Arabidopsis thaliana: one gene and its partners. The protein of the gene in region 1 interacts with the protein of each later gene in a pairwise test. Each region holds a gene or a part of one and is shown in the gene's direction. Other genes may lie near its edges.

Region 1 (9,464 bases):
AACAAGTTGATAGTAACAGTTTTGTGATTCAGAATTATTGAAACGATAATCTAGGTACCATAATAGTATAGGATTACCATTAACATAACACTCATAACAGTCGACGAACAATAAATATGGATATTTTTCGTATAAATGTGTGTAGTACACACAAGGATCCACACGTGTGGATTCAGTGTGGGGGAGGGAAGGGTAATTGCGTGTAGCGATGGAACACCGTAAGTACTGTGAAAGAGACCAATGGAAGAAGCCCTACTCTCTCGTTTTTAGTATTATGTCACGTCCCATCTCCAACTCATGTGAGTGCCCACTCGTAATTTTGATCCAACGGCTACGATTCATTCCTTGTTTTCATAACCATCATCGTACACCGCTCACTTCCTTTCTTTCTAGGGACAACCATACACTGTCCTATTCTTCTTCTTCTTACGCATATAATAGTATCTACATAACTATTTTGACGTCGAAAATCTATCCTATACGTATTTTAATAATATATATTACCCGTCAATTCAACTTTGTATATATCGCCGACAGAAATATATTAATACATATTCGTATATACATACCGGCTGTTCTTAATAAAGAAAGATTTCGCTTTTGAGAATCTTGTGACCCAATTCAAAACGTATAGAGTGGTGTGATAGCTAGTTAAAAGAATTTGACCATTCACAAATTCGTTTTGGTTCATATCAAAATTGATTTCCATTGCAATACGAATACGAGAATGACAAAAGTCAATGAATGATTTTGTAAGCAGAATTGATCAAGTATGACTAAGAAGCACTATTTTGGCCGCCAGGAAACTATGTTAGGAACATCATTACAAAAATTACAAATCTACGCTTTGTTATATACATGACATATAATCGATGATGCCTTCAAAATTAGTTTCATATTGAAACATAACAAAAATTAATAGTTTAACATGATAATTGACATATGTTGATTATACTAAATAAATTATTTGTAAAATAGGGGGGAGAGAGAAATATGAAGTAACAAAAACAAAAAAGAAAAGAAATGAGAAGATGTCTCTAAAAGCGAATTTTTAATTATTTATTACTCACCTAGTCACCTTATTTGTCATTTTTAATTTTTTATGTTAAGTAATTCTGAAATCTTCCATTGTTTTCACTAAATTCACCCATAATTCTATATATCCATTTTTTAAAACATAACTTGTGAAATCTAGTGTATATAATAACTAATAACTGTTATATTTTTATATTTGTTTGTGTGGGAAAATGTTAAGTAATAACTGTTATTTTGTATAACATGTTCTCTGTATATAATAAACAAGCACTAGGGTACTAGCTATAAGCTACGTTTCTAATTTGTCGCAAATTTTTAAGGTTTTGCTTAAGAATTAGTTGCATAAACAAATGCTAGTTGGATACTTTTGATGCTGATGTTTTATGTACGTATATCACTTTCTTGCATAAAAACACATTAGCCGAATTTTCTAGCAACTGACAATAATGCAACTGAATTTAATACAAATAAATAAATAAAATCTACAAAAGATATGGCGATGGTACTGATCTATTTGTATATAATGCTGTTTCCAACGTTACCCTTGTTTACGTCAAGAAGTTGCACGTGCCTTCTTAGGGCAGTCTTGTCATTTCCCCTAGGTAAATGATCACTATCTCCATTGTTTGGAATCAAAATTCATGTTCTCTAAATTTTTTTCTTTCTTTCGGATAAAATTATCTAATTAAAATTTATTGGAATCTTAAGAAAAAACACGTATATTCTTTATTACAATATATAGCTGAAGAAATCAGATTCGCAAATTTCCAAACGAGGAAGTGTGTATTATACATATATATTACCAATTATACCCTCTTCTACATGCAATTCGAACTACTATTATATACATAAAAAAAAAAAAAATAGAATCAGGAAACCCTAAAAGCACGTCCTGTCATTTTTATCAGGTGATTTCACTGTCTATATATATTGACTTATTGCTATATTCTATATAAAATAAATTTTGCTGTAATTCGCACACTTCCATTTTCACATTACACAATCAAATAATGAGGCAAAATAAAATAGCCAATGAAAGAGTACTTATGTACTCCAAACAGAACTTTTAAACCTTGACCAGTAAACCAAAGGATTTCTACAGCAATGATATTTTTCCTAAAACAAATTGATTCATTTTATTTGCAATAGTTCACTAAAACTCTAGTATAAAAAAGCCTTTGGTCATCCACTAGCTGAAAAAAATCTACAACAACACATAATTTTTATAAAACTACTATGACAAAGAAAAAAAAAAGAGTAAGAAATACGATCATGTAATACTATAATATATGATGGTACCATAACGTATTATTATTTTTTTTTTTTTCCTTTGTACCATAACGTATTATTAAAACCATAATAGTACTCAATTTTAATTACATGGACGACGCAACGAAGTTTTGAAATTCGGGAGAAGCATAAATTAAAAAAAGGCACGAGTCCCAAACTGTAAATAAAAAGGAAATAAGGGGTAAATTAGTAAATTAAGTGTCCTTTCAGAACAACAAGTTGCTTTAGAAGAAAATCAAAGACCCGCTCCGTTCGGGTTCGGGTCAAAAAACAGCCATTGTCGTTCTTTCTTCTTCTTCTGATTCTCATTTCAAATAAGAGAGAGAGAGAGAGAAGTAAGTAAAACTTTAGCAGAGAGAAGAATAAACAAATAATTATAGCACCGTCACGTCGCCGCCGTATTTCGTTACCGGAAAAAAAAAATCATTCTTCAACATAAAAATAAAAACAGTCTCTTTCTTTCTATCTTTGTCTATCTTTGATTATTCTCTGTGTACCCATGTTCTGCAACAGTTGAGCAAGTGCATGCCCCATATCTCTCTGTTTCTCATTTCCCGATCTTTGCATTAATCATATACTTCGCCTGAGATCTCGATTAAGCCAGCTTATAGAAGAAGAAACGGCACCAGCTTCTGTCGTTTTAGTTAGCTCGAGATCTGTGTTTCTTTTTTTCTTGGCTTCTGAGCTTTTGGCGGTGGTGGGTTTTTCTGGAGAAACCCAAACGACTATCAAAGTTTTGTTTTTTACAATTTTAAGTGGGAGTTATGAGTGGGGTGGATTAAGTAAGTTACAAGTATGAAGGAGTTGAAGATTCGAAGAAGCGGTTTTGAAGTCGGCGAGACCAAGATTGCGAGCTTATTTGGCTGATGATTTATTTCAGGGAAGAAGAAATAAATCTGTTTTTTTTAGGGTTTTTAGATTTGGTTGGTGAATGGGTGGGAGGTGGAGGGAAACAGTTAAAAAAGTTATGCTTTTAGTGTCTCTTCTTCATAATTACATTTGGGCATCTTGAAATCTTTGGATCTTTGAAGAAACAAAGTTGTGTTTTTTTTTTTGTTCTTTGTTGTTTGCTTTTTAAGTTAGAATAAAAAATGAGATTATCTTCAGCTGGGTTTAATCCTCAACCTCATGAAGGTAATTCTCTCTTTTCTCTCTCTATTGCTTTGATACTTCTAGCAAATAGTGATTTTAAACTAACTTTGTGAGTTTTGGATTGAAAGTTACAGGAGAGAAAAGAGTTCTTAATTCTGAGCTCTGGCATGCTTGTGCTGGTCCTCTTGTCTCACTACCTCCTGTTGGAAGCAGAGTTGTGTATTTTCCTCAAGGTCACAGTGAACAGGTTTTTGTCTCCTTCCTTTTATGATTTGGATTCAAATCTTTCCTTTTTGGTTACAGGTTACTTGAGAATGTTTTGTGGTTTTCAGGTTGCTGCTTCGACCAACAAAGAAGTAGATGCTCATATACCAAATTATCCGAGCTTGCATCCGCAGCTTATCTGTCAGCTTCATAATGTTACAATGCATGTAAGGAACTCACTATCAGTTTTTATGACAAACTTTTCTAAGTGTCTTTTCTGTTTGTGTGTTAGTTAAGAACTTGATTCCTTACCATTTCAGGCTGATGTGGAGACTGATGAAGTCTATGCACAGATGACTTTGCAACCGTTGAATGCGGTATGAGACTTTACTATGTAATTCATAATTAATTTTGTGGAATTTGTCGGTGTTTTGAACCTTCTTTGCTTGGTTTGAATGCAGCAAGAGCAAAAAGATCCTTACCTTCCCGCGGAATTAGGTGTCCCAAGTAGACAGCCTACAAACTATTTCTGTAAAACTCTGACTGCTAGTGATACAAGCACTCACGGAGGTTTTTCTGTACCTCGCCGAGCTGCTGAGAAAGTTTTCCCTCCCTTGGTAATTCATCTTATTGTTCATATGAATTCTACTTTCAAGATTAGCTATTGCCTCCTTAACAATAAAATTTTATGTGTTCTTCAGGATTACTCGCAGCAGCCACCAGCTCAAGAGTTAATGGCGAGGGATCTGCATGATAATGAATGGAAGTTCAGGCATATTTTCCGAGGTTAGCTTTCTTCGTGAAAAATCCAAGTTCTTATTAATAGCTGAAGAACAAAGAGATTTATTTAATCTGTATTTGTTTCTGCGTTATAGGCCAACCAAAGAGACATCTCCTTACCACGGGTTGGAGCGTATTTGTGAGTGCTAAAAGGCTTGTTGCTGGTGACTCTGTTCTTTTCATCTGGTTAGAAACATCTTTCAAATTGGGGTTTTTGTTTAAGTGTTACATTCAAATCATGAAACTGACTCAAGTATTTGTAATGCTAGGAACGATAAGAATCAATTACTTCTTGGTATAAGACGAGCCAACCGACCACAAACTGTCATGCCTTCATCTGTTTTGTCAAGTGACAGTATGCATTTAGGCCTTCTTGCTGCAGCAGCTCATGCTGCCGCTACAAACAGCCGATTCACCATCTTCTATAACCCGAGGTATCGTCTTAAGTACCTTATGAATGCACTTATGTGTTGATTCTCTTCGTTTTGCATCAAACGGATTCGGTTTTTCTGCAGGGCGAGTCCATCAGAGTTTGTTATACCCCTGGCTAAGTATGTGAAAGCGGTTTATCACACTCGCGTCTCTGTTGGTATGCGGTTTAGGATGCTGTTTGAAACTGAAGAATCTAGTGTTCGTCGGTAGGTGAATTATCAGAGTTCCTATAATTTACTCTGCTTTTTGCTGCTGAATGTCCTTAAGAATCTTCGTTTGTTGTCAGGTACATGGGTACAATAACTGGCATTTGTGATCTAGATCCTACTCGTTGGGCTAATTCGCATTGGCGATCTGTCAAGGTTTAGCTCAAAACCAAACCTTTAGTAGAAAATATTCATTGGTCTTTGCATTCTCGTATACATATATCATTCATCATCTGATCAAAATGCAGGTTGGGTGGGACGAATCTACTGCAGGAGAGAGACAGCCAAGGGTTTCATTGTGGGAGATTGAGCCTTTAACAACATTCCCTATGTATCCATCTCCTTTTCCTCTCAGGCTTAAACGGCCGTGGCCTCCTGGTCTCCCATCTTTCCATGGTATTGTAAATTTCAAAACTTTAACAAATCTCTGAAAGGTTTCTATTTCTAGTCTTTTATATCTTCTAATTTTGGTTGCAGGCCTTAAAGAAGATGATATGGGTATGAGTATGAGTTCACCGCTTATGTGGGATCGAGGACTCCAATCTCTAAACTTTCAAGGTATGGGAGTAAACCCGTGGATGCAGCCGAGACTTGATACGTCGGGCTTGCTTGGTATGCAAAATGATGTGTACCAAGCAATGGCTGCAGCTGCCCTTCAAGACATGAGAGGCATTGATCCTGCAAAAGCTGCTGCTTCACTTCTTCAGTTCCAAAATTCGCCGGGGTTCTCAATGCAATCTCCGTCCTTAGTGCAGCCGCAGATGCTGCAGCAGCAACTCTCTCAGCAGCAGCAACAACTCTCTCAGCAGCAGCAGCAGCAGCAACAGCTCTCCCAACAGCAGCAGCAACAGCTCTCTCAACAGCAGCAGCAGCAGCTCTCTCAACAGCAGCAGCAACAACTCTCTCAGCAGCAGCAGCAACAGGCGTATCTTGGCGTTCCTGAAACCCACCAGCCTCAGTCTCAGGCTCAATCACAGTCAAACAATCATCTTTCTCAGCAGCAGCAGCAAGTAGTGGATAATCATAATCCGTCTGCGTCCAGTGCTGCTGTTGTTTCCGCTATGTCTCAATTTGGTTCTGCTTCTCAGCCCAACACGTCACCACTCCAGTCCATGACCTCTCTGTGTCATCAGCAAAGCTTCTCCGATACCAACGGAGGAAACAATCCTATTTCTCCACTTCACACTCTTCTCAGTAACTTCTCTCAAGACGAATCTTCTCAACTGCTCCACCTCACTAGAACAAACTCTGCAATGACTTCATCCGGTTGGCCATCAAAGCGTCCTGCAGTTGATTCATCGTTCCAGCACTCTGGAGCCGGTAATAATAACACTCAATCCGTATTGGAGCAACTGGGACAGTCCCACACAAGCAACGTTCCTCCAAACGCTGTCTCGTTGCCTCCATTTCCCGGTGGTAGAGAGTGCTCGATCGAGCAAGAAGGAAGCGCCTCAGACCCGCATAGCCATCTTCTCTTTGGAGTCAATATAGATTCATCTTCTCTTTTGATGCCGAACGGAATGTCAAACCTTAGAAGCATTGGTATTGAAGGTGGTGACTCCACGACTTTACCCTTCACATCATCTAATTTCAACAATGATTTCTCGGGTAATCTTGCAATGACAACACCTTCTAGTTGCATAGATGAATCGGGTTTTCTACAATCCTCAGAAAACCTCGGTTCCGAGAACCCACAATCTAACACCTTTGTGAAGGTAAAGTTTTATTTCTTTTCCCTACCCAAAATGTTCTTCTTGTTTGCATGCATAGCGATGATTCCGGAAATGTTTTTGTAGGTGTACAAGTCAGGGTCTTTTGGAAGATCGTTAGATATATCAAAGTTTAGCAGCTACCACGAGCTGCGAAGCGAGCTTGCTCGCATGTTTGGCCTCGAAGGCCAATTAGAAGACCCTGTGAGATCAGGCTGGCAGCTTGTATTTGTTGACCGAGAGAACGACGTTCTTCTCCTCGGCGATGACCCTTGGCCGTGAGTTTATTAACTTATCCCTCATTTCCGCATTTGGTTTTGTCCATTTCCATGTTTATTTACCTGCATTTACCATTATCGACAGGGAGTTTGTGAGCAGCGTGTGGTGCATTAAGATACTGTCACCACAAGAAGTGCAACAAATGGGAAAAAGAGGCCTTGAGCTTCTCAACTCCGCGCCATCTTCCAACAATGTCGATAAGCTCCCGAGCAACGGGAACTGTGACGACTTTGGGAACCGGTCAGACCCGAGGAATCTCGGTAACGGTATCGCATCAGTTGGGGGTTCATTCAACTACTAGAAGTAGATGGAAACCTCCCTTTTTATTCAAGTTAAGTTTCAATCTTATAAATTAGTAGTGAGATCATCTTAGTTTAATTACTAGCAAAAATCTCTCTTTATTACTTATAAAAAAGGGAGATTTGCCTTTGCCTTTGATGGAAACAAAAACTATATAATCCCTCTGTCGACTCGTAATACTGTAATTATAAGATCTTTTGGTCTTTTTCTTATATGAATATTTTTACTGAACTCTATATATGTCACTTTCCTTACTCATTTCTTCAATCAATATGATAGTGAAGGGTTATTTTGGAGTTACATTAAGACTTTGTCTGACTAAAATGGTCCACAGAGAAAGTGATTTGGGTCCCAATCTCCTTATTGGAAGTGAAAGCGTTTTGTGGTTTTGTTGTGTGAAACACCAAAATATTCCGACCCGCAATTTGGGGCTTTACCCTAAAATTAGATCTCATTTTGCGTCAGCAAAAACTTTATCTCTAGACACGTATCGATCCGTAGTTCGTAGGACATTTTTATTGGTAGGTAAATTAATATATGCCCTTATCGTTTATAGTAAGTTTTTTTTTTCACAATATCGTTTATAGTAAGTTTAGTTTTCACCAAAGAATATGAAACGAAATTTGTAGAATGAGTATGGTTTTTGTTTGCGTCTTCATGTTAAGATAATTAGAATATTATAACATGGTAAAAAAGGAAATCTAACTCCTATTAACTTGAGAAAATAAACGTCATTTCGATAATTGATCGAAATTGTTGTGAATTTGGAAAATATCTTGCAATATAACTTTTTCTTGTTCGGTTTTATCGGAATGGGATTAGGTAAGTTATGAAATGGGCATCATTTGAATAGTATAAGAAGAATTTATGATTTAGTTTGGTATTTGATATTATTTTTGTTTGGTTGTCCATTAGGATATATATATAATAGAGTGACCAATTAATTGAAGACCATGTTTTATATATGATATTTAGTCAAAGAAATAACAAATCTGATAAAGAGATATTTGTAAGTATTTGGTTTTGATGTGTGGTGTATGAATGTGACTCACATAAATCTTTAGTGGTGGGACTATATATTCTAAGTAAGAAATTGGAAATGGTTGAAAATAATGTTGGGTGCATGTGGTAGGGACATTTATAGATGACACAAGTTAGGGCACTTTCATGAGCCCTAATTAAATAGTGCATGGTGACCCATCATTCTGAAAGTTCTCACCTTCTTTCTTTTCTTTTCTTTTTACCTTTTTTTCTTCTTTTAAAAGGTATTTCTTCATCTTACAAAATCAATTATTAATTTTAGTTTCATAGGATGTAGTAGCCATTCATTACATGGTTAAGAATATATTCAAATGAAGATCTAAGATCATAGCTTTTGTCTACTACACATAGAATCGTATGTCTTTTCTTGATAGATGTCATAACTATATAATTTCAATCTTATTAGAATTTCATGACTTTAATATCTAGAATTCTTGTTTGTTTAATTTGGGATTAAGTAGCTGAAAGTGGACGAATAAAACTCTTTGAGTTCATTAATTCAAAAACATGCATGAGTGCATTACTCTATAATTAAAATTATTTTCATTGATGAATATACATTGGAAGAGGACATGATCAGTCCATTGTGATAAGATCTTATATATAGCCGTAATTTGATCTTAAAAGGAAAACGTTTCAAGCTTCAATAATTTTGTTGATCGAATGGATAACTTGTTTTAAAGTTTGCTATTGAAGACCTTACCTTTATCTAGTAGTACTATCTCTAATTCGGTCTCATTACCAAGTAGAAATAATCAAATGATATTTGCACTGTTAGTTCCATAAATCCAGTGTTCAGAATCAGAGTACCACCGTAGTAGAATGGAAATAATATCCTAAATTTCTATATCTAGATGTATAAAATTTAAAATGAATATAACCAAAACAAGCTTTTAGCGATAAGGGTTTTGAGTGGATATGTGAAATTTGTTATTGTGCGACTATCTTTCTCATTTATCTCTTTTAAAAACGACGAACAGAAAACGTCAAATGTGATATTATTGATTGTCTAAGCACTTTTTGAACAAAGTAAATATAAAGGCACTTTTTGAGTTGTAAGACCAAAGAAAAAAATAAAATTCTTTGGACCATCCTT
Region 2 (6,379 bases), on another chromosome or scaffold:
ATTTATCCGGAAATTTCATGATCGTATCGTGAATCACTGCTCGCCTAGCTGCATCGTACACCTCTTCTTCTGTTGCTGAAAGGTTTCCATAGTGAATGTTGTGAAATATTGTGTCATTGAAGAGCACCTGCCATAATTCCAGGAGTCAATTGAGGCTATGATTAGTCTAGTTTATCTTTAAGTATGCAAGTTATAACCATTAAATCGATTTGATATTAAAATGAAAATTAAGATCATCAGGTTTAATCAGAATCACTTTTGGAGTGTAAAATGTCATCTGCATGTGATTTATGTAGAAATTGTGACTGAATAACAAAAAAGTTTAAAATACCCTAAATAGATTTTTCCAATAAGCCCTAAGTAGATAACTAACATTTTACCTAATTTGTCACGGTTTAGACTAATAACAACAAAATGTAAGAGAACAATTCTAGTCAAAATGGCAACTTACAGTATCTTGAGGGACAACTCCAATGCAGCTTCGAAGACTCTCTAGTGTCACTTCCTTTATATCTTGACCATCAATCCTAACATTACCAGAATCTGTGTCAAAGAACCTGAAAATCATTCTAAGAATCGTCGATTTGCCGCTTCCGCTACTACCAACAATCGCTACACTTTTCCCTGCCGGTACCTCAAATGAAATCCCATCCAAAATCTTTCTCTCTGGCAGATAACTAAAATGTACATTCTCAAAACTGATGCTTCCACCTCTCAGAACAAGAGGAGGTAGCTTTGTCTCTGTATCTTTATCTCCAATATCGGATCTCTCCTCTAGCAACTGGAACAATGATTTCATATCAACAAGACCCTGAACGGTTTCACGGTAAACACCACCGAGAAAGTAAAGAGGAAGAGACAATTGAAAGAGAAGACCATTCACCATCACCAAATCACCAACTGTCATCTCTCCATTCATAATCCCTTGAGAACACAACACCATTGATGTTGACAAAGCTGTACTAAATATAAAACTCTGTCCAAAATCTAAAAACGCAAGACTCTTCTGAGTTTGCAATGCAGCATCTTCATATCTTCCGAGTAAATCATCGTACTTTCTCGCTTCGTAATCTTCGTTGTTAAAATACTTAACAGTCTCGTAGTTTACAAGAGAATCAATAGCTCTTGTGCTTGCATCATTATCAGCTTGGTTCATAGCTTTTCTAAACTTAGTTCTATACTGTGTCACAACCAATGTGAAAGCTATGTATGATCCAACGGAAAGAGAAGTGATCAAAGCAAAAACAGGTCCAAAATTGTATGCTAATATACCTGTGACCATTGATATCTCCAAGATCGTTGGAACAACATTGAAAACCATAGCAGAGAGGATCGTGTTAATCGCGCGACTTCCACGGTCAATGATTCTATTCAAAGCTCCTGTTTCTCGATTCAAATGGTAACGAAGATCAAGATCATGTAAATGCGAGAGCACTTTACGAGAAACAGATCGTATTGTGCGGAGAGATACTTTGGAGAAAACAGCAGTACGAAGCTCGTTAAAAGCTGAAGATCCAGATCGAGCAATGCCATAGCCAATGAGAACGGAAGAAGGAGTAGCGAAAGCAGCAAGTAGATAAGGATTTGAATCAGTGATTGTTGAAGATGAATATGAAGAGAGTAAATCGATAGATAATTTGAAGAGGAAAGGAACTTGAACATTCAAGAACTTAGCTCCTATGAGACACGCTAAAGCAGCGATGACTCTGAATCGGAGTTCTGGGTTGTCTTTCATCCATAGATAGCTTGAAATCGTGCGGAGGATCTTCTTAGATGATGCTGTTTTGGTTTGATCTTGATTTGGAGTTGAAGTTGAAGTTGAGAAGAAGAAGACTCGTGCGTTGACTGGAGATGGAGATGGAGATGGATCGGTGAAGAATGCATTGATAGCTGGTGATCTCTGAATTGAGCTACGTTTGATAAAACTGGAGAAACTGTGATGGTGATGATCAGAGCGAAGACGGTGATACAGAGAAGCGCGAGAGAGGAGAAACCGAGATCCCCTCATCATCGCTTCTTGTCCGAACGAATCACATACAATTTGGTCTAAATCGATTCTTTAATTCTCTGTTTTGTTCTCTCTGTACTACAGAGTAGCTTAACAAGAAGACGAGGAAGAAGATATCAACTCGGAAATAACCGGTTTTGGTTTTCTGTTTTTATTAAGATAATGAAATTAGCTATCTCGGAGATAACCGGTACTGGTTTGATTGCAACTGGGCTTGAGAGAATCAGATACGGTGGTACACACCGCAGCGAATCTCAGAGTATTCATTCTCTCACATGGACTCTTTCGAAAATTCAACTCTTCTACTATATGCAATTAATTAAAAAATTGAACGGTTTATTTGGAAAGTGAAAAGAAGCAACGGTCGGTTATGTCTTCCCTCCAGACGACAGGGTTTTTATTCGGACACCACTAAAAATGGACAGCTAAACTCCTTTATTGCCTTAAAAATTCAATTTTAATTACGTGATTAAAGATTAGATTGCCACTTGATTTTAAAATACTAATTAAACCTATATAGTGATGGTATCTAACTATCAATAGCTTTAAACCGGAACTAATCAGCACCGTCCGATTTGGAAAGATGGATGGACCAAAGGACGTGTGGGCACGAGTCCCCCCTCTCTGTACACGTGGGTCCCACTAAGCCTTCTAAGTAATCTTTTTCTAGCCGTCCGATTGAATCCCATGAAGCTGACATGTGAGCCCCCACTTCTTGAAAATATATATTTGTATGAATTTTGTTTTTATTTTATTTTCCAGCCTTTTAAAAATGTTTTTATTAATACCACGGATACTACCGTTTTGATATCAAATTTTCTTTGAAATCTATCCGATCTTATATCAGATTTTGGAGTCAAATACCAACTACAAAAATCTGAACATTAATACAATAATATACATTTTGAAAAATCATGTTGTCCATTATATTTTTTGGCATCTAATCCTATCGTTAATTGATTATAAGTTTATAAATATATTACAACGGAATTTCGCATAATTGTAAAACTTCCCTATATAAACTTACGAAAAATTGAAATAATTATACCAAAAGTCCACATATTTTATTTTAAAAACTTACATAAGTGGATATTGTTAAAAGAAGGAAAAAAAAAGAGTTTCTAGTAAATATAGTCACGGAATAATGTGAGAAATTTATTATTGGATCAAAAAAATGATAAAATTGGGCGAGAAATAAGACTAAAAGTTAGGGAAGTGAAAAAGAGACAAATCCCACCCGTCGTGTCTTCTTGTTCATCCTTTGTTTCCCTTTTTCTTTCTCACTGTTTCTGCCTTACTTAAAGTCTCAATCTTTGCTTCAAATTCAACCCATCTCTTTTTCCTCCCTTCCCTCACAATCAAAATCTTAATTCTCAGCTTCTGGTTTTGTCGAAAATGGAAGGCGGTTCCGCTAGTGGATCGGCTTCGGCTTTGTCAAACGATGAAAATCTCGTCGTTTCTTGTGAGGATTCTTCTTCTCCTATAGGGAATGAGCTTGAGCTTGGTCTTACGTTGAGCCTTGGTCGCAAAGGGTATCGAGATTGTAGGGTTTACGCTGATGATTCTTCTTCTTCTTCATCATCTTCTTCTCTGAGCAGAGCTAGCGTAATTGCTGGGATCAAGAGGACAGCTGATTCCATGGCTGCAACTAGTGGGTGAGTGAAATTCTCTTCCCTTTCCTCTTTTACATTTTGATCAATTATGGTTTATTTGGGGATTCTTAATATCATGATTATCAATAGAACTATAAATAAAGATTTGATTTTTGCTTTTTATGGTTATGGGATTGATTAGACAGAATGTCCTTGATCACAGTTATCTGAAAAGATTCGACCTTTGTTACGTATAGATGACTTTGAATGTATCTTCCTGATCATTAGATAGTTTGCTTTGGTCATTATATCTTCAAATTGAATCTTACTATCGTTTTCTAGAGATGACAGTTTTTTTCTTCTTGGATTCTAAAGTATTTATTAGCTTTGGAGAGAAAGTGATTAATCCTGTATAGTGATTCTCTTGGTATCTGATTTTACAAGGCCCTGAAGTGTTTATAACCCTTTTTATGTGTTTACTCTTATTTGAGCAATTTGAAACCTTTGAAAATGGCAGGCAAGTTGTGGGATGGCCACCAATAAGGACTTACAGAATGAACAGTATGGTTAACCAAGCTAAGGCTTCAGCCACTGAAGATCCGAACTTGGAGATAAGTCAAGCCGTAAACAAGAATAGAAGTGATTCAACAAAGATGAGAAATTCCATGTTTGTTAAGGTGACTATGGATGGCATTCCTATTGGAAGGAAAATCGATCTGAATGCTCATAAATGCTATGAATCATTGTCAAACACTCTAGAGGAAATGTTTCTGAAACCTAAATTAGGTGTGCTTTTCGAATCTCATGGCCTTTTTTTTGGTTCCTTTGAAGTTGGTTCTTGGTATGGGAAATGAAGTTATGATTCTTTCTTTAATCAGGTTCACGCACACTAGAAACCGATGGTCACATGGAAACACCGGTCAAGATACTACCAGATGGGTCTTCCGGATTAGTACTAACGTATGAAGACAAGGAAGGAGATTGGATGCTTGTTGGCGATGTTCCGTGGGGGTATGCATACATATGTTCTTATGCTTTTGATGCTTTGTCCCGTGTAAGCGTCAAATTCTGAAGTTTGAACCTGAGTTTTACTTGTGTCTAGGATGTTTATTGGTTCAGTGAGAAGGCTCCGGATAATGAAAACATCGGAGGCTACTGGTAAAGGTACATTTACTGATTCGATCAAATCCTGATATCTGTATTAAAATCATTGTTTTGTCGTTGTGACCGTGTTTGTGTGATCCTTGTTTACAGCTCAGATGATATTATGAAGCAAATAATAATCTACGAAGAACCCTTTATGTTTGAAGCAGTAATAAGACAGATCACAGATCAAAGAGAAGACAAAAACATTGTAAGAAGCTTCTTCTTCTTCTCTCCCCTTTACAGTTTCTTTTTTGGCTCTGCCATTTTTCTTTTAGTTAGTTATATGTTCTCTTTGTAAATCACACTTTAAAAATCTATAAGAAAACCCTTTCTTGCACAAAAACAAAACGGTTCAGAGCAATGCACAAAGTTAATATGATCATGTAAAACAAAGGAAACTTATTCTACATGGAAAAATTAAATCAAAAGATACATATCTCTCTCTCTTTCTCTCTTTCTTCTACATACAGAACACGAATCGAACGAATCAGTTTATCGGCCTCTTTTGATTCTTAAATCTCATACTAAAGAAGGCCATTTACAGGTGAAGTACTAAAAACCGATGAATGTTTCTCGGCCAAGCTACGACTAGTGTTCTCTTCATTACTATTACTTTTCCTCCTCGGTTTAGCCTCTCCGAGCATCGATATCACATCTCTCATCGAAGGTCTGTCTTTCGGGAGCTTTGTAGTGCAGAGAAGAGCAATCTGTAGAACTAAAAGCATCTCTTCTTGCACATATCTGCAGTTTCCTACGTTAGGATCTAATGCTTCTTCTAGTGATATGTTGTCTCTTATCTTCCTTCTCACCCACTCCACAATGTCTACTGATTCTCCAAACTCCGGTTCCAATGGTCTTCTTCCGGTTAACAGCTCCAATAGTACGACGCCGTAGCTGTATATGTCTATCTTCTCATCCACCTTCAAAGTGTATCCATACTCTGCAAATGATCAACCATATGTTGTTAGACTAAACCGGATTGTAATCAATTTAGTAATCGGTATGGTATTTAAACCTTACCGGGAGCAATGTAACCGTAAGAACCGGCGACCATTGAAACGGTTTCTTTCTTCCTCGCCATCATCCTGGCGAGGCCAAAATCGGCGATTCTGGCGTCGAGATTCGCGTCGAGCAAGATATTGTTGGATTTGATGTCTCTGTGAATCACCGGAGGATGACAATCATGGTGGAGGTAAGCGAGGCCGTGAGCTACACCTAACGCGATGTTGTAACGCGAAACCCAATCAACGAGAAGTCTCCCGGCGGCGTTTTTGCCGTGAATCGCATCACCAAGGTTTCCGTTGAGCATGAATTCATATACGATCATCATGTTTTTGTCGTTGTATAAGAACCCTAGGAGCCTCACTATGTTTCTGTGTCTCAATTTCCCGAGGAGGTTAACTTCGCCTACGAAATCTCCGGTGGTTCCATCTTCAATATCCGCGGCAGATCTCCAGAGCTTCTTCACGGCGAGAACTGTGCTTGATCGTGACATTTCTGCTTTGTACACGATTCCGGTTGCTCCCATTCCGATCATGTTTGATTCTTTGATACATGCCAAGATATCGGAAGCTGTAAACCCTAATCTATGAAACGCCATTAATCTCCAAGGCCATTCACCTTTGCTCGCCGT
Region 3 (7,137 bases), on another chromosome or scaffold:
TATTTAGAAAGCAATGAAACTCTAGCATATATAAACCAAACTCATGATGGTATGTATAGTGGTTAAATAATTTATCATGGCTGTGGAGAACTAAAGTTCAAATTTCAATTATGACGTGAATGTTTTAAACCATGAAAATAGGGTAAATTTAATATCTATAATGTTTAACCATAATGTTTTAATCCAACATTATAAACCAAACCATACCATAATGTTTTAAACCAACATTATAATCCAACATTATATGTTTTAAACCAAACCATAATGTTTTAATCCAACATTATAAATGTTGTGAAAATTAGCTTAGGATTTGGTCAGGAATCTCCAAGAATCAAAAAATAATTGTATAAATTTGATTGGTAATATTTCGTAATTGCATAATGACTCTATTTGTATAATAAAATTTTGCAGAATGAAAAGTTGTAAAATAAAAATTTGTGTCGATTAGATACATTTGCAAAAATGCGGAATAAGATTTTATATCATAAACAAGTATATATCTACATATTTGTATAATGAATTGTTACTAGTGTTTTTAGGTGAAAACACAAATTTTCTATTTTGTTAAATGTTATGCAAATATTTTTGACTGATAATTTTTTTGTATAATTACGTTAGAAAATGTCATTCCGCTATTATTATGCATATTACCAATAAAATCAACTGTGTAACAACTAGGGGTGTCAAAATGGGTCAAAATTCATGGGTCAACTCAACTCAACTCAACCCATGAACCCTAATGGGTTGAAATTTTTGACTCAAATGAGTTGATGGGTCAAATGAGTTGATGAGTCAATTGGTTTGATGAGTAAAATGAGTTGGGTTGTAATGGGTTAATGGTTTTAGTGGTTTACCCAATTAACCCATCAAATTTTGTAAAATTGAATTAAACCAACTAAAATTTCTAAACCAATATTTAACCAACACATCTAAACCAATTTAATAAAATCATCCCCAAATTTACAAAATCAATCGTTTCTCGACCTCCACTTCGACCTATACTCTCCACCGGTCTCATCCACATCGGAGACTGACAAGACGACGAAGACTGCTTCAATTGAAGACGACGATGATGATGTGCTTGTAGTGGGTCAAAAGGGTGAGGTATGTTTCCACTGGACCCTTCTCATTTCTAACTACTTTTTCGTTTTCTTCATTCGAATTGGCGTGAAAGTTCAGATTCTGTATGCGTTAGTGTTGTTTAGCTCTTAATCATGTTCAGGATCTAACTTAAGTGATGGTAGAAGCGTATTCAATGTTGCTCTAGAGTTCTGAAGCTTGTTTATATGGTTAATTTTCACTTTATTTGAATGGCTCTACCTTTAATAGACTAGTCTTCTTCTAGTTTGTGGTACTTGAGCGATGAAGTTTGAGTTCTGGGATTAGTTACTTCTGATAGTTTTGATGTGATTGCCAAATTGTTATGTGTTTGTTTCGGTAAAGGGTTTAAGCTGAAAGAAGATATATGCTTGCCGTATTGTCATATCCTTCTCTTTGTTTTGATGTGAGCTAACAAAAATCGTATTTAGTCATATGCTTGTCGTATTGTCCAAAACAGTCTTCTTTTCTCTTTGTTTTATTGATTCTTTGACTGTGTCTATGTGATTAATTCTTGTATTTGGCTAATAACAGGTTTTATTAAGCAATCTCTAACTTGGCCTTATTTCTATGTATAGTTATTTGCAGCTGATCTTTTACAAAAAATGGACAATGAAGACGAATGTACTTATGGTGGTGAAGGTGGGCAAACATCAGCAGATACATCACAATCTAAAAGTTTAGTAAGTGCTTCTCGTTTTAAAAGAAGTAGAACATCAGATATGTGGGATTACTTTACACTAGAAGATGAGAATAACCTCGTGATTTTCCCGCCAAAAAAACGTAACCTCGTGATTTTCCCGCCAAAAAAACATGACCCCGTGATTTTCCCGTCACAAAACGTAACCTCGTAATTTTACCGTCTAAAAATGTAAACTCGTAAAAATTTCTGAATCAATAAATATCTCAAATTTAATAATAATGAATTAATGATGATGATAATTATTTATTATTGTTTTATAATAATAATTAATTAAATTATTATTTAAATGGTTAACCCATTTAACAACTCAACCCATCAAATGAAATGAGTTATGGGTTAGACCCAACTCATTTAACAAAATGAGTTGGGTCAACCCATAACTCATTTAATCATAAACTCATTTGATTATGAGTTGGGTTGGGTTGGGTTACCCATTTTGACACCCCTAGTAACAACAGAATGAATTTTGTTTATAGAGACAAAAAAACATGAAGTAATGAACATTAAAAAAAATCTTAGTAATATAATGGGTTCTCTAATATAATCTAACCTTCGAGTGAGAAAAAAATGAACATAAAAAAAAGAAACAAGAACAATAAAAAGAGTGGGAGACAAGAGGGTGATAAATGGTATAGCTACGGGACGGTGACGTATGATGTGAAAGAAAGGAAGAGCGCGGGTGATGATGGAATTAGGTGACAGGCATGTGAACAACAGTGAAGCTGCAAAGCCTGATTTGGTTGTTTCCCTTCTCTTTAAGCGTGCTTCCAACGTGTCTCTTTGATCATGACCTTCTTCTTCAAATATACAACTCTTCACTTCTATTTTCATTTGCTCTCATTTTCACATTGATTGTGTTCTTAGAATTTTGTTCCTCGTGCAATCTCCTCACTAGTTTAACTAAATAATTATACATTGATTTTTGTTGTGAGTCTACTTAAATTATGGTATCTATTATTGTACATTTCATAACTATACCACACCAAAAGTAGAGCATATTAAGCAGCCGGCAAAACAAAGTTCAATTGCTGCTTTCTTGTCTCTCTCGTATCATCACTCTCCTTTGCTAATTGCTCTCAGCCCATAATTATAAACGAGTAGAAGAATATTTAACACTCTTTTTCGTAAATTTTCATTTTTTACCACTTGTTAAATGCTCTGTCTTACTTTTTTTTTATCCATTGTAATTTTCATTGGCGGTATGCATATTTTTAGACAGACAAAATTTAAACCGATACGTGGTCCCATAACTATTGAAACTCTGATTATAATGGAAAACATATTAAATTTATAGGTATTTTAGACCACTCAGCCTCTTAAATATTGGATGGTCCCATTTCTATCTAAATCATTTTAACAACAACAAAAGAAAATATACCATAAAACAATCTGATTTGATTTTACTTATTGCTAAAACCATATAATAATTTTAATAAAATATAATAAACACACGCATGTTATTTGTGGACCTACAAAATAAAATAAAAAGAATAACAGAGACAAAAAAAAGTCATTTCAAATATATAAATCAAATTAAAATTAATAATATTTTCATGTTTTTTTAAGCTTCCTTACAAAACAGAAACCTGAAACCATGTTACCTATAACAACGACATGTATTTATTATTATTTCTCCATTAGATCTAACGACTCAGAATCACTCTCACTTACTCATTCTCAACCGTCAGATCTAACTACAGTACTCCACACCACATACGAACAAACCTAATCTATCCTTAATACCCTTACTTTTGTAGTTTATTACTAAATTTACCACTCCTTCCATGTTTTTGTTTCTCTCTTCTTCTTGATTGTTGCGCTTTTGTTAGCTTTCTCTGGTTCATTTTCCATGGACGGACCTTGACCTCTCTGCTTCCCTTCGTGCATTTTCTCTCTCTCACTATCCTCTCTCTTTCTAGTGTTTGTTTGATCCTCTGCGTACTCTGTTCTTCTTCTCTCTTCAGGTACTAGTTTCAATTTCTCTAAAAGGAACTATTGAAACCTCCTTCTCTAGTTTCAATTTTCAATCTGGGTTTGTTTGTTTGGTTCTTGTAGCTTCTTTGGATTCATTATCATTTGGGTTTAGTTTATTTTTCTCGTAAGTAAGTGATTTAGTTGTGATTCTGAATTTTAGGGAAATGCTGAAGAAGTTAGAGTAAGAAATTTTTGGTTTTTGAATGGAAAGTGATTGATTTTGGGGAAGATGAGTTCTGGGAACGATAAGGTTGAATTCTGGCTATGAAACCTAGGTTAAAGTTTCTAACTTTATCTTACTTGTTAAGCAAATCTAACCCAATTCTCATCTGAAACCCTAATTTTTCTGGGTTCTTCTTAAAATTGAGAATTTTGTTCATGCATCTATAGAAAGTGAAGATTTTTATGTAATTAGATTGATTTTGGGTTGTTCTTCTTGTTGTTGTGATGCTAAGCAGATAAAACAAGTCCTGCATATTGAAGATCTGATGTCTTATCGATTGCTAAGTGTGGATAAGGATGAACTGGTTACGTCACCTTGTTTGAAAGAACGTAACTACTTGGGTCTCTCTGATTGTTCCTCTGTTGATAGCTCAACTATTCCCAATGTTGTTGGGAAGAGCAATCTCAATTTCAAAGCTACTGAACTGAGGCTAGGTCTTCCTGAGTCTCAATCTCCTGAGAGAGAGACTGATTTCGGTTTGCTGAGTCCGAGAACACCCGATGAGAAGCTTCTCTTCCCGTTGCTACCTTCTAAAGACAATGGTTCTGCTACTACAGGGCATAAGAATGTTGTTTCTGGTAACAAGAGAGGATTTGCTGACACTTGGGATGAGTTTTCGGGTGTGAAAGGATCTGTTAGACCTGGAGGAGGAATCAACATGATGTTGTCGCCGAAAGTTAAGGATGTCTCGAAGAGTATTCAAGAAGAAAGATCTCATGCTAAGGGTGGCTTGAACAATGCACCAGCTGCCAAGTGTGTATTATATGATGATTTGTTTATGAGTTTGTTTATGAGTTTGTTTATGAGTCAAGAACGAATCTTGTGGTAATCTGTGTCTATTGTTTTGCAGGGCACAGGTTGTTGGTTGGCCTCCAATCAGATCATACCGGAAGAATACAATGGCTTCTTCTACTTCGAAGAACACTGATGAGGTTGATGGGAAACCTGGTCTTGGTGTTCTGTTTGTGAAGGTGAGCATGGATGGTGCTCCGTATCTGAGAAAGGTCGACTTGAGAACTTACACTTCCTATCAACAGTTGTCTTCTGCACTTGAGAAAATGTTCAGCTGCTTCACCCTTGGTGAGAATTTACTATGTATTTAAGCTAATCATTGATTCTACTGTAAAACAGAATGAACCAAAGAACAGTGATTTCGATTCTTGTTTGTGATCTCAGGTCAATGTGGTCTTCATGGTGCTCAAGGGAGGGAAAGAATGAGCGAGATTAAACTGAAGGATCTTCTTCATGGATCAGAATTTGTGCTTACTTATGAAGATAAAGACGGTGATTGGATGCTTGTTGGCGATGTTCCATGGGAGTAAGCTTCTTTTGGAACTCTCAGCTTTAATAACTGTGGTTTTGTTTCCGTTCAAAAGTTGAATCCTTGTTAAAACCTATTTGCAGGATATTTACTGAAACATGCCAGAAACTGAAGATCATGAAGGGTTCTGATTCTATTGGCTTAGGTAAGTTTTCCAACATCTTTCCCCCTAATCTGAATACAAACTCAATGGCTCATTTCATTGTTGATTTATTCTGTGGCAGCTCCAGGTGCAGTGGAGAAATCGAAGAACAAAGAGCGGGTTTGAAACGAAGATGCTCAAGACAAAAAAAAAACACTATGCACAGTTCCAATGTTTAAGTTTTATTTACTGATGTGTTTGAAAACTCTTTAGTCTTTTTACTAATTTGTGTTGTAAGACTTTGGATTCTCTTATTTGTGTGTGCTTGTTCAAAACAAATACATTCTTATGTGTGTGTTTCTACTTTGACCTTCAAGATATTTCGTCTCTACGCAAAATCTTGATTTGTTTATTGTTAGCACTTAGTACCAAAGTCTATAAGTGATAATTACGATAAAGAACCTTTAACCACACAAAGTGGAATCTCAAATGATGGTTATTATCTTTAAAACATGAAAGTGTGTAAATCTGGATAAGCTTTAGACTAATCGCAATAGTGTCTTCTACAATATTCTTACAGATTAAATACTAGAAGAACAAAAAAAAAATGTAACTACATATATATATTTTTTTTGTTTTCGATTTTTTTGTAACATACATATAATAACGTATAAAGAAGACTGGTGAGTAGGAAGAGTAGATAAATAAACCTCACCTTACCGAAATAGAGGGCATATCAAATACATGTGGAGCAAGAGTGGATGAGATAGAGAGAAAGGAGAACATTTATGTAGTGAGCAAAATAGAGTTTGACAAATTTATAGTCTCATACTTCTAATAGAGGTAGATGCTAACATAGCTACCCAAACGAAGGAAAGATAATAAAAGAATGTGACGCATAAAAATTTGAATTTTAGCAAACTTCTTTTGAGAATTGTGAGCTCTGTTAACTCGTATTTGTAAATTTTTTTTTTACTAACATCTAATTTTATTTATCTTTGAGCTCCAAATTTATCCACACTATTTTATTTTATAGTAAAGTTTCATAAACTAAAACCAAGATTTATTTTTGTATTTGCAATTTATGTGTTTTATTTTTCTGATATATAAAATACAATACATGTATTGCTACAAAATATATATAGTTCTCACTTTATATGAAGTTAATTTTTTTTCTTAAATGTTAGTATTCATATTCTAATTCCCTCTTCCCTACATCTAAAAGAGTATTAATTTTCTTTAGATATTCGACATCAGCTGTCAAATTAGTCTTATCAAATGGGACTCAGTGATTTGCACAAATGTAGCACTTCTAAATGAGTTTGTGGTTAGTGCACTTCATCGTTGACTTTATTTTCAAATTTGATTGTTTTGCTATTCGTAAGAACAATTATATCAGTCACAGTCATATGTCTTGTTAATGCTTTTCTTTCATATGAACCACTAATTCTTTTTTTCATTGATCAAATTAATTTTAGAGAAGCTTATGATATTTGACTTTGGTAATAATACCAATACTCAAAGAGAGTAGCGAGGCCTAAACGTTAACATATTATTTATTCATTTTTATTTTATTTTTCATAATTTTATATCAAAACATTGGTTATAAAATATATAAAGTTATAAATGTCATCTATTTGAATTTATTATATATATTCACACTTGGTTTATATGAAAACTAGAATAGTTCAGTCCTAAAAACATTTTAACAAAAAAAAACTAAATTTTTTGAAAAT
Region 4 (6,696 bases), on another chromosome or scaffold:
TTTGCTATAAAAATAACAATATAGAGATTTATCCGTCTAAAATTACGTTGATAAAATGTTTAAGTTAATTGGATTTTAGATGTTTAAAATTCTTTTTATATTGTTTAGCTAACAAAAAGCTGATAAAATTTATATAACTCTTAATTTGAAAATTTGTATTATTTATACATTATTTCTACCAAAATGTTTTGAAATATATTATATATTGATTCGTACATATATTTTTCTAAAATTATTAGATAATGTATGATTGAGCATAGATAAATTTAGTTTCTCAGATTAGTTAGCATTAACCTACGCATCATATAAATTATTTTATGTTGTTAACAAAGTAACACACATATTTCTAAACTAAATTCGAGTTATAACAAGACAACAAACTAATCTATATTATTAATTGGAAAGCATTGTATGAACTACAACATTCTAAGAGTAGTTTAAAATTAACTAAATGAATCTTTGCATAGGTAATTTAGTAAATTAACAACTACAACAACTAAATAAATATCTTGGATTTTGTTCTTTTAAAAAATTGAATTTAAAATCAATAAATTCATAACTACCCGATATTTTTGGAAATCATTTAAAAACATTTCCATAACATATCAGGCTATTTTAATTCGAATTGTATATATGAAAATTTATTTATTTTGGTAATATGTTATTAGATAATTCGGAAACTTTAATCTAATTTAATAACAAATTATCATTTAGTTTAGATTTTAAACAATTTCTTTAACAAAACTATGTTAATTGTTTCTCATTAGTACACATAAAAATACGATTTTAGTTATGATTTAGCATATTCAAAAGATAATTTTTGGATTTTAGATTTGTAAATATCTAGAAGATATTATCAGTATAGATTCAAATATTTAACATTTTAATTAGAATTTAAATGATATAAACTTTTAAAGGATTTTTTTAAACATGTAATTTTCATTATTTTAAAAATATATCGCTAAGCTAAATTTGAATTATATGAAAGAAAATATATTTTTAAACGTATTATAATAGATACAAGCTTTTAGAATATTCATTCTTCTAGATTTGATTTTTTTTTAAACAATAAAACAGAGTTTAAAATACCAATGTTTAAAATTTTTAATGCAAATATTCAAAATGAGAAAATATTGATTCACACCAAAAATATTTTTTCTTTTAAATTTGAATGACTTTTTTTTAAGAACAAATAGTAATATGATTATTTTGACAGATCAATAATTGTATTCGAACAATAATAACTACCATATTTGCGATAATGCATAAGGATAAGTTTGATCAAAAAATACCAAAATTGTTGAGATTATAGTAAATTTTAGATTGAAAAAAAACGCAATTCAGATTAGTTTATTCAGTAAAGCTAAGATTGAATCCAAATTAAAATCTAATTTTCCGTACAATCCATCTCTTATAATTATAAATGTTATGCATACATTCACATTGCCTCACAATCAATCTAGAATATCGATTCTTTAAAACAATATATAGAGATTCATAAGTAAAGTACTTCATATTCTAATGATGTTTATCTTCTAATATTACTATCCATCTATGCGTATTCTTATGGATTTTTGTTTCAGGGTCAACACTAGATTATAAGAAACTAGATTATAGTTATACAATCTTAAACAATAAACAAAACAAATATAACTTAATTTAATTTTTTATTTTTAACTAAAATCAACTAATTTAATAGTTTATAAAAAAACCAAATACTATTATTTAACATAAAGACCAAATACTATTATACTTTAATTATAAAAACTACATCTTATTGAAAGGTATACACTAAAAATTGGTTTTATATACTACAATATCATAAATTTGTAAATCACAAATTATTTTTAAATATATTAATCCAAGATGTACCACATGTCGATCCGTCGATTTTTATATATATTAGAATAACAATATTTAAAAATAACAAAATGATTTTCATTTTACGGAATGAAGTTATATGGTGGAACGAGTTTGGGTTGATATTAATACGGGACGATAATCTACGAGTAAAATCTTAGAATTAATAACTATAACATAATTATATAATCTTAAACACTAAACAAAATAAACAATATTTACAAAACAACTATATCTTAAAATTTGAATTTTTAGTTACAAAAAATCGACCAACGGTGTACCGCGGAGTTAAATTTACATTATATCATCTAATTGATCAAATTTCAAACAAAAACAATCAATTTATATATACATCAAACTAACAAAAATACACAGATTTTCCAAATATCTCTATATATTCAGCAAATCCAAACAAATCTAACAATATATTTACCATGCAAAATATAAATAAAATATAAATAATATAAATTAATAAAAAAAGTTAGCTATTTTATCATAATTAACACTGTACACTGTTCTATGCATATTATAATTTATACACTATAATATTTTTAACTAAAAATGTATTCCATTATATTTATATACACGTATGTGCAGGGTCAGAATCAAGTAAAAATTACACTATAAGCTCTGTCATTATTAGTGTGATGATTAGTCATGGTATATTGGTCTCGGACTCTCGGTTAATTAATATAAATCGGCTGAAGAAATTGTTTTGCCCCGAGTTAAAAAGAATAAAACAAATAGGTGATGACCCATGAAAAAAGGTCAAAAGACAAAAGAGAATTTCTAGATTGCCACAAATTTCTAGACAAAAGACACAAGATAAGTATAAACCAATTCAACTATAAGAAACTGTGAAATAGCCACAAATTTTATGTGTCTATTTCAACAGTTTTATTTGTAGTATTTTGAGCGTTGACCCATTTTAGTTATTTTCACTAATCAAATTACAGCTTATTTGATTATATGCCATAGCTATTAAGTTTTTTTAAGATTGAGTTGAAAGATCCTTAAACCATCTTGATATATTTCTAAAGTTATACTTGATTATGTTTAAGATGACTTTTCATGGGTTGGCAATTTCCGTAAATCAATCGATTATGTAACTTGAAAAAAAGGACAAACATTATGGAGGCCAAATTAGAGTAACAAAAACCAAGTTGGTAGTGGACTTTTCGTGAAAAAAGAGAGAATTTGTAGTGGAATTCTAAGTATACATACAATTAATATTTGCAGTACTTATATATCAAATAAAAATAAACAGAAGAAGGTTAGTAAACGAAAACCTACTACTTTACTCCTTTTATTGGTAGGTACTCATTTAAGCATGCCTAGGAATCTCTTTCCTCTTTCTTGTTTCCTTTTCTATGTCGGCCTCTACTCTCCAAGAATGGGTGTGGAGATGATCATATGATGACTATGTTGATGATCACATGATGACACAACCATGCATGATACATTTCTTTGTCTCATGAGTCACGGTGACATACATGAATTTTCTAAAATACATGTGTTACAAATGTCATGCATAAGAGAAGCAATTGTACATAGTTTATATGATTATAGTTTTCATTTTCTAAGTAAGAATAGCATTCATTTTCATTTTTCAATATGATTTTAATTCATGTCACTAGCTAATAAAGGGGTATTACTAATCACTGTTATTTATATATCTCTTTGTTTAAATTGGTTTATGTGTATGTGTTGGATATTCATTTTGACTTTGGTGCTATGGTAGCATTTTAGTTCTTTGGTAATTTTCGGTTACCCACATCTTTTTGGATCGAATTAGAATGATAATGGACACGTCTAGACAGCGTAATAATTTGGTGATTACATCTAAGATTTTTGGAATCATATGTTTTGTAATTAATCAGAGTTATTCGGTAGTATGAGACCCCACACGGCTATGAACCATGTTACCATATATTCTAAGTGGGTTTTTAATTTGATAACCACCTACCTATAACTCTAAATTAGTCTATTGGATTTTTCTAATGATCATCATATAAATTTATTCTCTTTATATAATAGTAATCGTTGTAAATAATATATGTGTGTCTCCCATCAATCCGCATCACATTCGTAGAATCATACACGTATGTAAACGCATTTTTGACATACGGAAACCATACAAGTAGGATCTGTTAGGTGGTTATTAATTCAAAATAAAATCTCTTTTCATTAGAAAATATAAAGAGACTACTTTTATAAAAAGATTGGGATTGTAGTTCCTTGCCAACCACCCATATAATAATACTCCCCAACACCAAAAACACAACACAAACTTAGAAAAATGGAAGAAGAAAAGAGATTGGAGCTAAGGCTAGCTCCTCCTTGTCACCAATTCACTTCCAACAACAACATCAATGGATCTAAACAAAAAAGCTCGACCAAAGAAACATCATTCCTTTCCAATAACAGGTTCTCTTAATCTCTTCTCATGAATGATTTGAATCATTCTTGTTCATTGTAGATGTCTTATATGATAATAAAATAAAAATAAAAAACAAAATCCTGGTAATTCTACAGTTTTCGGAGATTAGTTTGGGTTTCGGTATCTAGTTATCAAAAAGTATTTGTGTATATGTTATAACTAGATATGGCTAAAACAGGGTTGAGGTAGCTCCAGTGGTGGGATGGCCGCCGGTGAGATCATCCCGGAGAAACCTAACGGCACAACTAAAGGAGGAGATGAAGAAGAAGGAGAGTGATGAAGAGAAGGAATTGTACGTTAAGATCAACATGGAAGGAGTTCCAATAGGAAGAAAAGTCAACCTTTCAGCTTATAACAACTACCAACAGCTTTCACATGCCGTTGACCAACTCTTCTCTAAGAAAGATTCGTGGGATCTAAACAGACAATACACTTTGGTCTACGAAGACACTGAAGGAGATAAAGTTCTGGTCGGGGATGTTCCTTGGGAGTAAGTTTTAAATCAAACAAAACTAATTCCATTTTTTTTTCTGGAACTGAATATGAACTTACTTTATCAAAAATTCATTTTATATCTATCTACTTTTGTTTTTGTCGAATTTAACAAATATTTTTAGTATGAGTTCCTAAAAAGAGTTTGGCCATTTCTCATCAGATTATTATTTTCCTTTAAAGGTCATATTTTTGGATATTTATCTGATAATAATTTGAATCATTGGACATATTAATGATATAGTTTACTTTATTTGTTAGGATGTTTGTATCTACTGTAAAGAGGTTGCATGTTTTAAAGACCTCCCACGCCTTCTCACTCTCACGTAAGATTACAATTCTTACGAAACTTTTTCATACATCTCATCACTTAATTACTGCCTTGAAATTAACTTATATATTTATTTATTTTTTCACAGCTAGAAAACATGGCAAGGAATAGAGAGAGGTTGGCCAAAATCATCAGTTCGATGGTTTGTTTTTAATGTAATTTTTGTGGAAACTAATGGGGTTTGGCTTTGATTTACTGGTTTTCTTTTTCACTTATGTACTAGGTTTTTGCTTGCTATGTTATTTCTTGTTTTGGTTGTAAATATGCTGTTCGTTTAAGAAATCGGGGGTTAGTATGTTATCGTGTGTATAAAAATAGTGTAAGCACGTAAGTTGATTACAATGCCTGATATGATTCATGCCTTCGTTTCGTTTTTTAGTAGGGAAAATGGTATTTAATTAGCGAAATCAAACCGACTCATTTTATGTTTTTTTCAGAGAGGTAAAAATCCAGAGAGCCTGTTTACTATGTATGAGTAAAGATTACCCGAAATAATAGAGAAATAGATACAAGAGGCTATCCAAGTTTGGTGGGTTCGAGTTTTATAACACCATCCAAAAAAAATTGTTGTTTTGTAACACACATGAGTACCAATTGTTTATTTCACAAAAGACAAACCATTTATTTCATGAACTGTAATCTTGTTATGTTCATGAATTATTTCGGTATAACATGTAATTAACTCGAGTAATATCTTAAAATAGTATTTAGAGTAAAGATAGTAGGGAGAAAGATACTTTATTTTTTTATAACTCATATAATTTTAAAAATTTCATACACCCAAAAATTGATTATGGAGTATGGAAAAACCATGTTAAATTACTTAAATTTTGGTGGCTAATACTACTCGAACTCAGATGGTGAAAACGACTTTAGACTTCATTAATATAAATATATATATATATATATATATATATATATATTTATATGAGTTTTTACTTATTGTCAATTGGTTTTGGAATTAGTAATCTATGAAACTTAACATAGTATCAGTCTATCAGAGGTTGAACATTCGCTGACCCGTTAATCCAACTTGGAAAATGGTCCGATTACCTCTACTAATTGATGATCCAAAGAAAAACTCAATTATGTCGAGATAGGTAAAAAAACATTATTTTAAAAGAAATAATGAATTTAAAATTAGTAAATAAAATTTAAAATTTAAAAATTCTCCTATAAATTTTGTGTCTCACAACTTTCTTTCAAACTTTTTTTCTTCAAAAATATACCGTATGCTGATGAAATTTTTATCTTTACCAATTAAGAATATAATCTTTTGTTTCCATCTCAAATCATCATCATCACCTCCAAAGCGTTTAGCAACCCCAAAACCAACCACTTGGCGACTACACAGTATTTTACTCAAAACATCACAAGTTTCTATGAAACGTAAAACGATGAGTTTAGTAAAAAAAAACTAGAGATTATAGTCAGAAAAACTATAATAATAAGAAGATAACATTAAACGGATAGATTCATGTCTCTTTTTTGAAATCCAAAATTGGGTAAAATCCAAAAACCAAAATCTTGCCAAATGCCAATAAGAGCAAAAATCCAAACTTTCCTTTCTCTT

The links.
Region 2: the proteins of ARF6 (region 1) and IAA11 interact in a two-hybrid assay, tested with the Arabidopsis thaliana proteins (2 studies listed by BioGRID).
Region 3: the proteins of ARF6 (region 1) and IAA8 interact in a two-hybrid assay, tested with the Arabidopsis thaliana proteins (3 studies listed by BioGRID, with this or other methods).
Region 4: the proteins of ARF6 (region 1) and IAA28 interact in binary tests that used the Arabidopsis thaliana proteins (3 or more experiments, as listed by UniProt).

What each region holds. Positions count from the first base shown.
Region 1 is NC_003070.9:10,683,989-10,693,452, reverse strand, and holds ARF6 (auxin response factor 6), read left to right. Parts: upstream 1-2,464; 5' UTR 2,465-3,416; coding exon 3,417-3,459; intron 3,460-3,545; coding exon 3,546-3,664; intron 3,665-3,749; coding exon 3,750-3,848; intron 3,849-3,941; coding exon 3,942-3,998; intron 3,999-4,082; coding exon 4,083-4,238; intron 4,239-4,322; coding exon 4,323-4,407; intron 4,408-4,496; coding exon 4,497-4,587; intron 4,588-4,670; coding exon 4,671-4,835; intron 4,836-4,916; coding exon 4,917-5,039; intron 5,040-5,119; coding exon 5,120-5,195; intron 5,196-5,287; coding exon 5,288-5,435; intron 5,436-5,516; coding exon 5,517-6,754; intron 6,755-6,835; coding exon 6,836-7,026; intron 7,027-7,111; coding exon 7,112-7,328; 3' UTR 7,329-7,631; downstream 7,632-9,464. UniProt on the Arabidopsis thaliana protein: Auxin response factors (ARFs) are transcriptional factors that bind specifically to the DNA sequence 5'-TGTCTC-3' found in the auxin-responsive promoter elements (AuxREs). Seems to act as transcriptional activator.
Region 2 is NC_003075.7:14,138,885-14,145,263, forward strand, and holds IAA11 (indole-3-acetic acid inducible 11), read left to right. Parts: upstream 1-3,250; 5' UTR 3,251-3,403; coding exon 3,404-3,663; intron 3,664-4,117; coding exon 4,118-4,386; intron 4,387-4,478; coding exon 4,479-4,611; intron 4,612-4,702; coding exon 4,703-4,764; coding exon of another isoform or gene 4,765-4,793; exon of another isoform or gene 4,794-4,854; coding exon of another isoform or gene 4,855-4,859; coding exon 4,860-5,044; 3' UTR 5,045-5,085; downstream 5,086-6,379. Other genes in the region: ABCB23 (ABC transporter of the mitochondrion 1), read right to left, coding at 1-127, 452-2,011; AT4G28650 (Leucine-rich repeat transmembrane protein kinase family protein), read right to left, coding at 5,271-5,686, 5,767-6,379. UniProt on the Arabidopsis thaliana protein: Aux/IAA proteins are short-lived transcriptional factors that function as repressors of early auxin response genes at low auxin concentrations.
Region 3 is NC_003071.7:9,632,873-9,640,009, forward strand, and holds IAA8 (indoleacetic acid-induced protein 8), read left to right. Parts: upstream 1-3,507; 5' UTR 3,508-3,765; exon of another isoform or gene 3,766-3,935; 5' UTR 3,936-4,004; coding exon 4,005-4,025; exon of another isoform or gene 4,026-4,233; coding exon 4,234-4,751; intron 4,752-4,848; coding exon 4,849-5,078; intron 5,079-5,174; coding exon 5,175-5,316; intron 5,317-5,402; coding exon 5,403-5,464; intron 5,465-5,543; coding exon 5,544-5,587; 3' UTR 5,588-5,873; downstream 5,874-7,137. UniProt on the Arabidopsis thaliana protein: Aux/IAA proteins are short-lived transcriptional factors that function as repressors of early auxin response genes at low auxin concentrations.
Region 4 is NC_003076.8:9,029,321-9,036,016, forward strand, and holds IAA28 (indole-3-acetic acid inducible 28), read left to right. Parts: upstream 1-3,883; 5' UTR 3,884-4,159; coding exon 4,160-4,287; intron 4,288-4,478; coding exon 4,479-4,790; intron 4,791-5,053; coding exon 5,054-5,118; intron 5,119-5,211; coding exon 5,212-5,234; 3' UTR 5,235-5,820; downstream 5,821-6,696. UniProt on the Arabidopsis thaliana protein: Aux/IAA proteins are short-lived transcriptional factors that function as repressors of early auxin response genes at low auxin concentrations.